2 linked regions of the Drosophila melanogaster genome follow. The protein of the gene in region 1 purifies or fractionates together with the protein of each later gene. This does not show direct contact. Each region holds a gene or a part of one and is shown on either strand. Other genes may lie near its edges.

Region 1 (6,380 bases):
AAAGTGTTTACTGGAGTGATTACAAAAAAAAAACAAATCCCTGCCTAAAACACCACTTAAATTAAAATTCATTGGGGTTTTTTGACCATCACTATTGTGAAAGATATGATAACAGAATGCAATTCTATTATGATTCCGTAAAAGTTCACGCAAAGACAATTCTTGAGTGCATATTTTGTCTAGACGATTCATACAAAAGGCTAAAAATAGACCAAAAAGCACATTTTCAATAAAATGCAAGCTTTCGACATAAGGTCCGATCGGTAAACAATTTTATAGTAACATGAACTTAAAAAAAAGTTGGAAACAAACTAAGACAAAACAAAAATATTTGTTGATTGAAAAATATAATAACATTTAAATGTTATGTATTCAATGATAATTTTAGTTGTTTGGCTTGAAGGGTACTTTTACAATTGTGTACTTATCAAACTTTTAAATATAAAATTTTAATATTTTTACAGTTTTAATATACTCTAAGATTACTACTGTATTTCTTCTATGAGAATAAAAATCAATCTTTATTATTGTTTGGGATGAAACTTTAAAAACATTTTGTAATTTATTAAGGCTAGTTTAAGAAATGGTTGAAATATAAGAATAAGAAATATAATAAGAAATATATTAATTTAAAACCTCCTGACATCTCCGATTTTACTGTGGGCAAACCAATCAATAAAAGTATTATAATAGAATGGAAAATGAATAAGAAATTAAAAAATTTTAAAAAGAAGTTTTCCCTGCAATAAAACTGAAAGAAAAAATCTTTAGACTTTTTGATCTGCGAACTTCGAAGACTTCAGAATAGTATTGGGTGAGTACGCTACTATTTAGAGGATAGGATCATTATAAATAAAAATATGCAAAATAAACTCTTAACTCCCACGGCAATGATAATAATGGTGTTAATTTGCATGGAAAGTATCGTCATGGTACGGTTCCTTCGTTCGCAATTTATCCGTTAGATCTGCATTGTTACGTTACGTAGAGCAGTCTAACGGTTAATTCGCCAAGACGGAAACGAAGTTGCTGCTTTTATTGTTGTTGGCTGCCACTGATTGGAGAGCTCTTTCGCGCTCACATTGTGGTTGTTGCTGTTGCTGCCACTTCTGTGGGGGAAAAAAGGAAAAGGCAAGGGAAAAGAAGCAAAAAGCATTTCCAATTTGGAGGCATTAAATAGCGTGGGAGCGAGAGGGGTGCAGATATAGACGTACGCCTACGTGCAAATATGCGATTTCTGCTGACGGAAATTGCAAGTTGCGATTACATAGGCACTCATTCTACCTTGATTGCACATGGTCTTATGTATTCCGAAGTGTTTGCAGATGGATAAGAGCCCGTAAGAGTTGTAAAACCTCTGCCATTTATGTGCAGCCCTTTGTTCTCTATCCCCCTCCCTCTTCAATTTTCCGCTTGTACATACAGAAACGAACAAAGAAACGGCTGGCAAAGCAAAAGAAAAGAGCCAAACGCCGACGTCAATGTCGGCGTCGACGCAGGCAGCGGCAGCGACCGACGATGTGGCGACCGAAAAACAGAGTCAGCGAAGAGCGCCTGTTTTAGTGCAACACCAACATTCAACGAGAGCGGTTCGTCGACGCTGTGCGGAAAGATTACAGAGCGAACGAGAGAGACCGAGCCAGAGCGACGACGCCCCGCAACGAGAACAACAAAAGAGCCGAGTGCGCGTGCAAGAGAGATAGCTGACTTGTTGCCCAGTGAGAGGCCGGCGAGAGCGAGACGGACGATCAGTGTGCGAGCGACGAAAAAGAAAACAAAGATACTCGCCCAGAGCAGTTGGCTACCTGTCTTTGGCCTGGTATATAAGTGTGTGTATGCGAGAGAGAGTAAATAGCGGGCAACGCAGCAGTACATAAACGAAAAGCAGCGTGGTCGTTAGTCGAACAAAAACTCTCAAAGCGAACGGACGTGTGCGGTCGGTTGTTTCGATACTCCTGCTTTATCGCTATCCAAACAGAGTGAAGCGACCACTATAAATAACGAAACAAGAAACATGTGTTTATATTACAACCAGAGCTCAAAGCTTCAGTTGCATAATAATAATAATAATAAAAAAGCAATCTGAAGCCAATTTCCTTTGTGTGACAAATGCCGTAGCAGCAACAACAGAAGCACAACACAACTACGTCTGCTGGCTTATGTACGTCGCGCGCGCTTGTGTGTGTGTGGGGCAGAAAACATAGAGCAAAGCATAATACACAATAAAGGTGCCCGCGAAAGCAGAGCAGCCGAAAGTGCCAGCGCGTGTTGGTGTGGTTTGAATGTGCAGGCGAAGTGAAGAAGTAGAAAGAAAATAAAATAAAATAAAAGTGAAGTGGAGCATAGTGAAGAAAGAGAAGCAGAAACGCTGACTCAAAACTCAAGTGTGGATTATTTACTTGGATTATTCCTCTTGCCATTGGATTATTTATGTATACAAGGCGACCACCGCGATGCCAATTAACTGGCTGGATTATTAGTGGATTAAAGATTGGATACAAAGGTACATGATTGGCGTTAATCAACACTGCTCTCGACCGGCAGCTGTTGCGCTCTCCCCCCACCAACCACAGCCCCTCTTCTGTTTTCTCTTGATGACCCCCTCTCTTTCTTTCTCCTTTTGTCCCAGCAAGTAAGAATTTCGATTGGACACACGGCAATTGAAAAAGGGGAGCATGAGAATATGAGCGTGTGTGACTGATTTTTTTTTACTGCTCTTTCATTTAGCAACGTTTTTTGTTTTATGTTTATGTACTTGTTTCTTTGAATGAAAGCAATATGCGAGTGTGTGTGTGTGCGTGCTTGTGAAAGAGGAGATAAAGCCGCAGTCTCGGTTCTGCATTCTCCGAATTTTCGCTGGGTTGTTGTTTTTTCTGTTCCCTGTCACAGTCTCGCGTTTCCCTTCTTTCAACATCCCTTCGCATCCCTACCCACACACACACACACAAACATACGCGAGCATATAAACACACGCACACCACACACAAATAAGAAATTCCGCTGCTTTTTTTTTTATTATCCTTTTCATGTTGGTACTCACTCACATTTTTTTGCGCGCGCGAGAATCCCTGAGACTTTAAACACGGCAATGGAATGGGTTCGGTAAAATAAGAAGGGAAAGGGCCAACAGAAGGGTTCCTCTTTTCGCACAGCACTTAAAAGTGATGTAAAAAGGATTTAAAGAGGCCTGCTGGCAATTTCTTTTCGCCCTCTCCCATATACAGTCATTCATATTCCATTGCCATATTTTCTGTACACAAATATAATTTTCCATATTCTGTGTGCCCCCGGAGTTGAAAAAGTTTTTCCGAAAAGTTTACCGTATGTACCTTGACTTTTTACTGGCGCGTTGATGCAAAAACAACTTGAAGTTGTTTGAAATACACATTTTGTTCGACGCCCCCACAGATCCGCCCCCCACTTTCGATGTACTTGGCATCTGGTTAAAACTCCACTCGGCACTCTTCACTCTCCCCCCTCCACCCTTCCATCCATAATAAAACAAAGCACCCCTGTGCAACTCTGCTCCCCCCTCTTTTGATCCCAAAAGTGCTGTGCATTTCAATATATTCGACGTAGGCATTCCCATGGCAACTACAACATCCATTATCGAGGGCCCCCACATCCATCGACTGATTGCAAATAATAGCTGCCAGATTGCGACTCCTTTCTGTCTACTGCTCAAGTCCCACAAGCTTTAATTTGGGACATCATGTCTGAGTTAAATGCATTTTGATTTCTTTGAGCTAAAGCGTTCTCTAACAAATTAAAGTCAAAGCATATTCACTAAACTCTAAAAATTGAAATGATCTTTAAGTTTCGATGTTCATGCAACAACATATTTGTTTATTTTACTTAATAAGTTCTTGTCTTTGATCATTTATATTGAGTCAGCGTACTTGGCAACATCATTAAAATATTTTCTGAACAGATCTCTTATGACGATCACTGTAGAAACTTTATCACCATTTCAACTATATTAAAACTGATTCACGAAGAATGATGCAAAAGAGAAGATTGCAGTGAGGAAAAATACGATCCCACCGAGTTCATTAACTCTACCAGTTTTCCCAGAAAGTGTATATTTCCCTTGCCTCCATTATTCTATCGTAAACAGCGAGGGGCGAGTGGAGCTTTAAGCTTCTTCGCGCACCAACGAGGCTATACCGATATAGCTTCGGCTTATTGCTTTCTGCGGCTCAGCGTCTGATTTATTTATAATCTTCAGCACGCTCTCTTCTCGAGTCGATTTACATTTTCCATTTCACATTTTCCATGCGCTCCTTTATTCGCATTTAATTTTAACTTCTGGCATTATCTATTTTGCAGATTGACGCTTGTGCGAAAAACAAAAGCGAATTTTTAGCGGCGAGAGTGTATTATTACTATGATGACGCCAGAATCGAAAGCAATACAGCCGGCAGCAGCAACAACAAAGCAAACAGCAGAAGCAACAGCAACAACAACAATGGCTCACACACAACAAAAGTCGCAGTTGTCAACGTTGGCGAAAACAACAACGACAACGGCAACGAATAAGGCGGCCAAAAGCGTTGTCAGCAATGCAAATAGCAGTGGCAACAATTCGAGCAAAAAGCTGGCTTTGTCTCAGTCTCAGAAAACAACAACAACAACAACACCACCAACGACGACGACAACAACAACAGCAGCAGCAGCAGCAGAGGCAACAACTAATGCTGATAAAATGCAAAAGCAACAGCAACTGAAGCAGCAACTTTTCGCTGCCTGCAGCATTAAAGTAAAAAGTGAAAACACATTAGCAACTACTGCGAATGCAGCATTAGCAGCAGCAACAACCACAACAACAACAGCAACACCAGCACTTGCCACCGGCAAAGCAGCAAAAACAATATTAGAAAACGGCATAAAGAAGGAATCCACGCCTCCGGCTGTCGAATCCGTTGAGGCCTCCTCCTCATCGTCATCCTCCTCCTCGTCCTCCTCATCATCATCGTCCTCGTGGCCGACGACAAGGAGAGCCACTTCAGAGGACGCCAGCAGCAATGGTGGCGCCTCCGCCGACGAGGAGAAGTCGGAGGAGGACCCAACGGCAGCTGTGGCTGCGTCTTCAACGGCGACAACGACTTCCGATTTGGCCACAACTTCAAGGCCACGCCCCGTCCTTCTAACGGCCGTCAATCCGCACATCATCTGTCACCTGTGCCAGGGATATCTGATCAATGCCACCACCATCGTCGAGTGTCTGCACTCCTGTAAGTATCCTTCCGCCGATGAACTTCATCAAATTGTATTCTATTTGCGATGCGGACTTGCACAAGTCAATAACCTTTGAGTGGCCAGGAGATACAGATACAGATACAGATTTTTTGAACTCCTAATGGTTCTAATTCAAACTACCCTGTTAATGGAATGAATGAATGCGCTATTCTTGGCTTTACACTTTACTTACACTTGAGCAGTTTCAAACGGAAACTTTAAGAGCTTGTACAAAAGAACTTTTGAAAACTTGTCCGATTTTGCTTGATGAAAACCATTACAAATTAATCAATGTGGGAGTAAGTTTAAGTTAAAAGAAGAAATTCCTAAATGGTTAAATTCGTTTGGATTCACTTTAAATGGTTACCATCCAAAGCGAAATAATTACTTTCCGTTGAGAGAAAATTTTCAAAGTTCTCCAACAAGTTTACATAAATTTAGATAGAAACTTTTTTCATCAAGATATTAAAAACGAGAGCTACAAGAATATGTAATGCGATTAGGTTCGGTATATTTGTATCTCAGAGTAATTAGAATTTTGGGTATTTAGATTTTATCCCATAAATCCTTCGGCCAATGTCCAGGGATTGGGAAAAGTTGCAGCTAGTAATCGCTGTGGCTTAATTATTATGCCAACTGCCGACTAAGGGCACCATCCCCGCCAAATTCCATTTCCAATACCCATACTCAAATGTCTAGATGTTCTGCAAAATTGCCTAGACGCGATGAGTTATGTTTACTTCGGAGGGCGGAGAATTTAGCCAGGGCGAGGAGCAGTAGCTCTATGTTGTGGCAGCAGAAGGGAGCAGGAGGAGGAGTAGCAGCAGTAGCAGCAAGAGGGTTGGGCGCTTCGGAGCAGGAACACAGACGACACGCAGATGTTGCCGGGCGATAAGTTTGTGGGCACATTAATGGTCCCGGCCTCGAAAGTACTTAGCTCGATTGATTGAGAAACTGTTCGAGGTGGCGGGCGAGAGATGATCCCTGCTCCTCGCACCACTGGTAAAAATCCCGGATGCATTATCAACGACACAGATATTAACACAACATTAGCATTCAGGCGGGGGACTAAACGCCATAAAACTAGCGAATGTGGCCATTCATCAACAGCCGTTCGGTTCTCCATTCCGTTCGGATATTAA
Region 2 (9,486 bases), on another chromosome or scaffold:
CATACAAAGATATTTCTGTTCTACACAGCTATGTAAATCCTAAGTTTTACGTTGCTGCTCTATAAGATTGCTCCAGTGTGCCTTTGGTTGCCAAAGTACAACAATAATGCATTCCAATAACAATAGATCGAGTGCCACTGTGGGAACATATCACTCTGTCTCTGCGCATACGCTACCCCTTCCCTTCGCAAACGCTTCGTTCGTCTGTTTCCGACAAGCACAACCAATAATAAAGTAAGTTGTATAAAGTAAGAGCAAGGGAGAAAGGCGCTAGAGGTTGCCAAGTAGTGGTGGTTGTGAAGGAACGAAAAAAAGAAGATGAAGTATAGCAGCAATCGAATTTGAGTCGGGCGGTAGACATTCGAGTGTACAGACACAGAAAACTGGATTCGGTCTCGGGTATTTTATTTTGTTTTCACAGTGGAAGGGGGCGCACAGTCGGGGTGGTTGAGCACGCATACACATGCCCGCCAGCTGTAGTCTTGATTCCTGTTTTTTTTACTCGTTTTGGTTTTGCTTTGTCAACTGCTGCCGTTTCATTCCAACCCCAAGCGAACGCACGGCATCCCGCTCGCACGCGCTATCTGACCAGGGCCACTCCTAGTGGCGTCGCACTCGCACCCGTGCATTTCGGTATAGAGAAAAGTTATTAGTCGCAACGGTATCTGAGAGGAGAGAAGCGGATCCAGCTGCACACCAACACACACACACACACATTCAGCACACATGCGCTCATTTTGTTTCCGATCCGAGCAAAAGTAGAGTTGTCGCTGTAGCGCGCGGTTCAGTTTGAAACTTAACTTGGCGGCGTGCGGTTCTTGCGCTCTGCTCTCTTTGCGTTCGTGTTGGTGTGGTGTCGATGTGTCGCATACCGCATGTGTATTGAACGGGGGAAAAAAAAAGCGCCGACGCGACGCACACACACCCTACCACCGTTTCGTAGTATTTATTTATATATTTATTTTTGGCGATCAATGCAAATCGGTGCTGACTATAAGTGATTAGTGAAAACAATTAATGCTGTGCGGCGTCTAAAGTTGCGTCGTTTTGAATGTTAGGCATGTACAGGTGCCTCCAAATATACAATAATACAGTACAGCAAGGAAAGCAAAAATGAAAACGGTAAAACATATTTTTTCTGATGAGACGCTGTCGTCGGCGCATGCTCTTTGCCTGTTGTTTGCGCCGCATTGTTGTCATTGCTCCCTGCCTCTTCGTTTTCTCCTTCTCCTCTTCCTCTGTTTCTGCCTCTTGCAACTCAATTTTTGGCTAAGGGAAAAATCAAATAATGATGGCATTATTGTATGCCGCCACACGCACATGCACACACACACATGCACATATCGTGGCGCGGTAGAAAGAAACCAGTCTTTCGGTTGCAAGTTGAAGATGCTGCTGTGCCTAGGTTTATTACCCCCCTTCCAAATCCGTTCCGCTCTTAGCCTGCCGATGGAAATGGAAGCCAAAATCCACCCCCGATACACACCAAATGTAACTGAAACTCCTAACTATTATTGGTGGCGCCGGTTGCTCCTTCCGCTCCTCTGAGCCGCGGCCATTTCTTACTCCTGGACAACTGGCGACAGCATTTTGAGCGCCCAGCTTAGGTCTTTGAACCTGTCCCCTTGGATATCACCATGATGGCTTATAACCATCGCCCAAGGGCCATCCGTAAATAAAAGTGGTCTCCCTTACACCCACTCGAACTTCCTCTCTGCGTAGTAGATGGGAGGAGGTGATGGAGAAGGGGAATATGCAGCAGAGAGCAATCCTACTATAAATAGATGTTTCGGGCACAGGCAACGCTGACAAGTGACCTGCTTTAGGTGTTGGTGTGCATGCACATATGAAAAACAGTGCACTTTTAGTGGGTCACGAATCATGAACAAATTAAAATATTTATTTACCTGTTCCGTAAAAAGTACTGAATACACGGTGGGGCTAGTGTTGTACAAAGTTGTAGCTGCAATCATTTGTAATTTCCCATATAATATGTTGGTGTTTAAGCTTACCACGTCTCACCTAAACAGTATCCACTGTAAGTAAATTACCTCGTGAGTGAACGATCATCCAAAACAAAGTGTATCTCTCGTTCCCTTCTCACATTTTCGTCCCGACTTTGTTTTCGTTTTCGTTTTCTTTGGCGTTTTTGGACCCAGATCGATCCCGTCTTTGTCTTTCTCAATGGTAGTGCGTCCCTGTCGCACCCCCTTCTTTCTTTTTCTGTTCCTCGTCCCCCTTTTCGCGTTGGAGAGCAAGAGAGAGAGTCTTTGGCGGGAGTAACATGCAGTCGCAGTTTGTTGTTGTGCGGTTTGTTCGTCAAGCGCTAAGAGAATATGAATAAGAATATAAATATAAATTTAAACATGAATATGAAGCATGCCCCACGGATTCGGAGCCGCGCCAAGTGTGTCCGTGTTTGTTTGTGTTTAAAGCAATTTACTGATAGTCTGTGTGCGTTTCCTCTTTCTCTTTCCAGCAGTGGGGACACCGAAAGTGAATCAGCAACAACAATACGTACACCACCACCTTCCCCGGAAGCCACCACATCTGTAAAGGTCAACTCCACCACTCGCGTGGACCCCCAGCGGCCACTAAGGTGCCTGGAAACACTCGCCCAGAAGGCAGGCATCAGCTTCGACGAGGACTTTGCCAAGAGTCCATCCCAATCGCCCAGCTCTAAGGCAGCACGTGGGTCAGTCGGAACGCCATCAATCAGACGGCGCCACCCACTACTACCGCTCAGCAGCAGATCGCCAAGCGCACCCGACTCAAAGACAACCGGCCGCAAACTGGAGAAGTCACAGAGTCCAGCTCAACAGGTGGCGGCCGCCACCAATGTGCCGCTGCAGATCTCCCCCGAGCAGCTGCAGCAGTTATATGCAAACAATCCCTACGCCATTCAGGTGAAGCAAGAGTTTCCCACGCACACGACCAGTGGCAGTGGAACTGAACTAAAGCATGCAACCAACATTATGGAAGTTCAGCAGCAGTTGCAGCTGCAGCAGCAGCTGTCGGAAGCCAACGGTGGAGGAGCAGCCTCGGCCGGAGCCGGAGGAGCAGCTAGTCCGGCCAACTCGCAGCAAAGCCAGCAACAGCAGCACTCCACAGCCATCAGCACCATGTCGCCGATGCAATTGGCAGCGGCCACTGGAGGAGTTGGCGGGGATTGGACACAGGGAAGGACGGTGCAGCTAATGCAACCCTCCACCAGTTTCCTGTATCCCCAAATGATTGTGTCGGGAAATCTGTTGCATCCAGGAGGCCTCGGTCAGCAGCCAATCCAGGTGATCACCGCCGGCAAGCCATTCCAAGGCAACGGCCCCCAGATGCTTACCACCACGACTCAAAACGCCAAGCAAATGATCGGTGGCCAAGCGGGATTCGCTGGCGGAAATTACGCGACCTGCATTCCTTCGAACCACAATCAGTCGCCTCAGACGGTGCTCATCTCGCCGGTGAATGTCATCTCCCACTCGCCACAGCAGCAGCAAAACCTTCTGCAATCAATGGCCGCCGCAGCTCAACAACAGCAACTTACCCAACAGCAGCAGCAACAGCTTAACCAGCAGCAACAGCAGCTCAACCAGCAGCAGCAACAGCAACAGCTGACTGCCGCTCTGGCCAAGGTGGGAGTGGATGCGCAGGGCAAGCTGGCCCAGAAAGTGGTTCAGAAGGTGACCACCACCAGCAGCACGGTGCAGGCGGCGACGGGTCCTGGATCTACTGGGTCAACACAGACCCAGCAGGTGCAGCAGGTTCAGCAACAGCAGCAGCAGACCACCCAAACCACTCAGCAGTGCGTGCAGGTTTCACAGTCGACTTTGCCAGTCGGTGTGGGTGGACAGTCTGTTCAGACTGCCCAACTTTTGAACGCTGGCCAAGCGCAACAAATGCAGATCCCTTGGTTCTGGCAGAATGCGGCGGGCCTGCAACCCTTCGGCTCCAATCAGATCATCCTGCGAAACCAGCCAGACGGAACCCAAGGCATGTTCATTCAACAGCAACCGGCGACGCAGACTTTGCAGACCCAGCAAAACCGTAAGAATATTGTCATGTATATTGCATCGGATAGGTACTAAAGTCAACTATCTTCCTACAGAGATTATTCAATGCAACGTGACGCAGACGCCCACTAAGGCACGCACTCAACTGGATGCACTTGCTCCCAAGCAGCAACAGCAGCAGCAGCAGGTTGGCACTACCAACCAGACGCAGCAGCAGCAACTAGCGGTGGCTACTGCCCAGTTGCAGCAACAGCAGCAGCAACTCACTGCAGCCGCTCTGCAGCGACCAGGAGCCCCTGTCATGCCCCACAATGGAACTCAAGTGCGTCCGGCCAGTTCCGTATCCACACAGACTGCCCAGAACCAGAGCCTGCTGAAGGCCAAAATGCGCAACAAGCAGCAGCCGGTGCGCCCCGCTTTAGCCACATTGAAAACCGAAATCGGTCAAGTCGCAGGACAAAATAAGGTAGTAGGCCACCTGACCACCGTGCAGCAGCAGCAACAGGCGACGAATCTCCAGCAGGTGGTTAATGCGGCGGGCAACAAGTGAGTATTGTTTGTTTATTATCTGCCTTGTCACAGTACTTATTTTTGCATCTTTCCAGAATGGTTGTGATGAGCACAACGGGCACTCCGATCACCCTGCAGAATGGACAGACCCTTCATGCAGCCACTGCGGCAGGAGTCGACAAGCAGCAACAGCAGCTACAACTGTTTCAGAAACAGCACATCCTTCAACAACAAATGTTGCAACAGCAAATTGCTGCCATTCAAATGCAGCAGCAGCAAGCGGCTGTTCAGGCCCAGCAACAACAGCAGCAACAGGTCTCTCAGCAGCAGCAGGTTAACGCCCAGCAACAGCAAGCGGTGGCGCAACAACAACAGGCAGTCGCGCAGGCTCAGCAACAGCAGAGGGAGCAACAGCAGCAAGTTGCCCAAGCCCAGGCGCAGCATCAACAGGCTCTCGCGAATGCCACTCAGCAAATCCTTCAGGTGGCGCCAAATCAATTCATCACGTCCCACCAGCAACAGCAGCAGCAGCAACTTCACAACCAACTGATACAGCAGCAGCTACAGCAACAGGCGCAGGCACAAGTTCAAGCCCAAGTGCAGGCTCAAGCGCAACAGCAACAACAGCAGCGAGAGCAGCAGCAGAATATTATCCAGCAGATTGTGGTGCAACAGTCAACTGGAGCGACTTCTCAACAGCAGCAGCAGCAACCGCAACAGCAGTCTGGACAGTTGCAGCTTAGCAGCGTGCCGTTTTCGGTTTCACCATCGATGACGGCGGAAGATATTGCCGGAATAACATCCAGTGCCCTACAAGAAGCTCTCTCGGTGTCTGGCGCCATCTTTCAGACAACCAAACCGATTACTTGCAGTTCCTCTACGCTCCCCACAAGCAGTGTGGTCACAATTACCAGCCAGAGCAGCACTCCTCTGGTCACCAGCAGTACGGTGGCCAGTATGCAGCAGGCTCAGACGCAAGGTACTCAGATCCATCAACATCAGCAGCTAATCAGCGCCACTATTGCCGGAGGGTCTCAACAGCAGCAGCAGCAGCAGCAACTGGGACTACCTTCACTTACACCCACCACGCCCTCACCTACAACAAATCCCATTCTGGCCATGACCTCGATGATGAATGCCACCGTGGGTCACCTATCCACTGCCCCACCCGTTAGTGTTTCTAGCACCGCTGTCACTCCATCGTCTGGACAGCTGGTCACACTAAGCAGTGCTAGTAGCGGTGGAGGAGCAGGCTTTCCAGCCACGCCCACCAAAGAGACACCTTCAAAAGGGCCCACCGCAACCCTGGTGCCCATTGATTCGCCCAAGACTCCTGTATCAGGAAAGGACACCTGCACTACCCCCAAATCATCTACTCCTGCCACTGTTAGCGCATCCGTAGAGGCCAGTAGTTCCACAGGCGAAGCCCTGTCCAATGGAGATGCCTCAGATAGGTCTTCCACGCCGTCAAAGGGCGCTACCACTCCCACCAGCAAGCAAAGCAATGCAGCAGTGCAGCCACCGAGTAGCACCATTCCCAACAGTGTCAGTGGGAAAGAAGAGCCGAAGCTGACAACCTGCGGCAGTTTAACGTCCGCAACATCAACATCAACCACGACAACGATCACCAATGGGATTGGAGTAGCCAGAACGACAGCCAGCACGGCTGTCTCAACCGCTAGCACAACCACTACCAGTTCTGGCACCTTTACCACAAGTTGCACCAGCACAACCACAACCACCACGTCGAGTATCAGTAATGGATCGAAGGATCTCCCCAAGGCGATGATTAAGCCGAACGTCTTAACTCACGTCATCGATGGCTTCATCATCCAGGAGGCCAACGAGCCATTTCCCGTCACCAGACAGCGATATGCAGACAAAGACGTCAGCGATGAGCCGCCAAGTGAGTATAAACTTCTGGTACCAATGCTTTTTCGCAATCTTAACGTGTCATTCCTTCGCGCAGAGAAAAAGGCAACCATGCAGGAGGACATCAAGCTAAGTGGAATAGCATCAGCTCCAGGCTCGGATATGGTTGCTTGCGAGCAGTGTGGAAAGATGGAGCACAAAGCAAAGCTGAAACGGAAGCGCTACTGTTCGCCAGGATGCTCGAGGCAGGCAAAGAACGGCATCGGTGGAGTTGGATCAGGAGAGACGAACGGCCTGGGGACAGGTGGTATAGTTGGGGTGGACGCAATGGCATTGGTGGACAGACTGGATGAAGCCATGGCTGAGGAGAAGATGCAGACAGAATCATACCAGACAGTATCGGACGCTTTGCCAATTCAAGCGGCTACGCCGGAGGTCCCACCGATTTCGATGCCAGTGCTGGCGGCTATGTCGACATCTTCACCACTTTCGTTGCCCCTGACATTGCCCTTGCCAATTGCAATAGCTCCCACTGTGTCACTGCCAGTGGTTTCAGCTGGAGTGGTTGCGCCGGTCCTAGCAATACCATCCTCGAATATAAATGGATCCGATCGCCCTCCCATCAGCAGTTGGAGTGTGGAAGAAGTTAGCAATTTCATCCGAGAACTGCCTGGTTGCCAGGACTACGTGGACGACTTTATACAGCAGGAGATCGACGGCCAAGCGCTGCTGCTGCTCAAAGAAAACCATTTGGTTAACGCCATGGGCATGAAGCTGGGTCCAGCTCTCAAAATTGTGGCCAAGGTGGAGTCCATTAAGGAGGTCCCGCCAGGCGATGTAAAGGATTAAAAACACGCAACAAAGTCAAGGTTTCAAAAGACCGCTTTCTTTAGTTTCCCGCGTTTCACCTAAATGTAACGACATTTACTTCGTGAGCGAATGTGATCAGACAGAACAAAGTGAATCACGTTCCGACTCACCACTTCTCACAGCACGTACACCCTAATCATCAGCTACATGCACCTAATCTACAAAGGGAACTCCCCAGAGAGCAACCGGTGCCTGGAATCACTGACTCTGTTGCGAGGCCCATCCCATCCAGAATCTATGCGAGAAATCCATAATTAGGTGATGTAGTTGTTTTTCCCGCACATGACGAAAGCAAGGAATATGACCCTCCTTCGGCGCCGAAGCTGCAGCTAGTTTAAGCACCCCGATCAGACCCCAAGATTGTGGCAATAGTAGAGTCCATGACTCTGTGCGACGAAAAGGACGGGGAGGTTATAGGACCGCTGGCGCCACCGCCGTTGGATCAACAGTCTTCAGCAGTCTACCAGAGTCTGAGGATAGGAGCGGGCAGTATCCTGAGCTTCTATTTGACCATGCTGATCTCCCACGACCTTTGCATGGACCTTTGCCTACCTGTGGACCGGGTCCAACCGGGTCTGCCACCCAAGCTGAATTTGATTCACTTGAAGCGGACTTTCAATCCTTTTGTACGTAATCTAAACATAGCAAGAGGGGTAATATCGTAGCTCAAATGACAGGACGCCACATGTATGATAGAGCATAGACTGCCATCCCAGTCATCAATTCATCACTTTGTATAGAAGTTCACAATTACTCATAATCACTAACGTATTTATTTGAACGTTGTTAATCATTTCACAACACCCTATGCAAAGAACATGAAAAAATCATTTGAACTAGAGGTAATCTGGGATTATATTTACGTAGTTAGAATTAAAACTTAAGCCTGAAGTAATTCCTAAGTGAAACTGAATTGAATCCAACTAAACCTTTAATTTATTGATAAACTTAGGTCGTAATGAGTAACGTCTGAAGAATTTTTGCCTTTATTGCAAGGTTCCGAAAACGCTGTCCAACTTTTATAGATCAAATCAGTGGTCGGAGTTTAATTTTTTTTTTAGTTTTACGAAACCTTTTTTTCCTACTGCTGAAGTAAATAAAACTGTAAAGTGATTAATGGAAGTGAATATAATGTCGTGATCGAGTTTTATTGGAATTGTTCATTTCGTACCTTCTTGCCAAATATGTGGATATTGAAACAAATATGTGGGTAGTAGTCACTCATTCTAAAAACACATGGTAATTTTCCGAAAGGTTATTTGAAATATGGTTTATTCAATTATATATATTTTTCTTTCAAATATGCAGACACATAAAAATGTAGAATATATCTTCAATATTGTTATCGGTATAATGTTTCGAACAGCTATGCATCTTAAGGTTTCAATTTAATTTCATAATAATATTTTGTGGCTGTGTTTAATTTTTATGTTTGTTACGTTTAGTTAGCGCTTGCAGATTGATTTACATATAGATTTGCTTCAACATTACAACGACTTTGGTTTTGTTTACAATTTATTTGGTGTTGCCTTTTGTCTCGATTTCGCGATCGTTTTGTTGCGTTTCATTAATTTGTTTATCTTACGATCTAGAGCTACGAAAACTTTGTTTATTGCGTCAATCGCGTTTCGTCGTGGGCTCGTTTACCATTTTGTTCTCGATTGTTATCTATAGTTTCAATCAAATCGCAGTATTCTACACGGATTTCTAATGTTTTTGGGTCGATTAATATTTTATATGGCAGGAGAACTACCTCTCAGCTGCTTCTTGTATACCGATACATAAACGTTTGCCTCGCCGTCTCGTTTTGGGCTCAATGAAAATGCTTCTGAGCTGAGTACTGAGCTGTATTTCGCATCTAAATATATATTATTCATACTCCATATACTATATGGTAGTTTAACACTTGTATTTTGCAAATTGGCAACATTTGAACAAAGAAAACGTCGTCTCTATTTGGTTTTAATTCTTGCAACATCGAAACCGCACCGAGGTTTCACTAAAAATCGCACAACTTCTCATCGGATTATGAACACGGGTTGAGGTTGGATCGCGTGGTTAGCTTATAGACGTACTGGAGGAGGGGACGTTGGGTTGGATTCGGGTCGAGGGCACGAGGAAATCGGTTGAGGTCCGAGGTTGCTGGGGTTTCGAGGTCCTACCCGAGAATATCGTTATCTAAAGTAAGTCACTCAAGCAATTTTTTCTTGGTGTTTGTTTGTTTGTC

What was found. Proteins that work in one complex are often made in the same cells at the same time.
Region 2: the proteins of Psc (region 1) and ph-d purify together in Drosophila melanogaster (affinity purification with western blotting; 7 studies listed by BioGRID, with this or other methods). This does not show direct contact.

What each region holds. Positions count from the first base shown.
Region 1 is NT_033778.4:12,976,171-12,982,550, reverse strand, and holds the start of Psc (posterior sex combs), read left to right. Parts: upstream 1-1,556; 5' UTR 1,557-2,503; intron 2,504-4,329; 5' UTR 4,330-4,387; coding exon 4,388-5,234; intron 5,235-6,380. UniProt on the Drosophila melanogaster protein: Polycomb group (PcG) protein. PcG proteins act by forming multiprotein complexes, which are required to maintain the transcriptionally repressive state of homeotic genes throughout development.
Region 2 is NC_004354.4:2,114,618-2,124,103, reverse strand, and holds ph-d (polyhomeotic distal), read left to right. Parts: upstream 1-2,311; 5' UTR 2,312-2,379; coding exon 2,380-2,417; intron 2,418-2,479; coding exon 2,480-4,041; intron 4,042-4,102; coding exon 4,103-4,553; intron 4,554-4,612; coding exon 4,613-6,423; intron 6,424-6,486; coding exon 6,487-7,238; 3' UTR 7,239-8,377; downstream 8,378-9,486.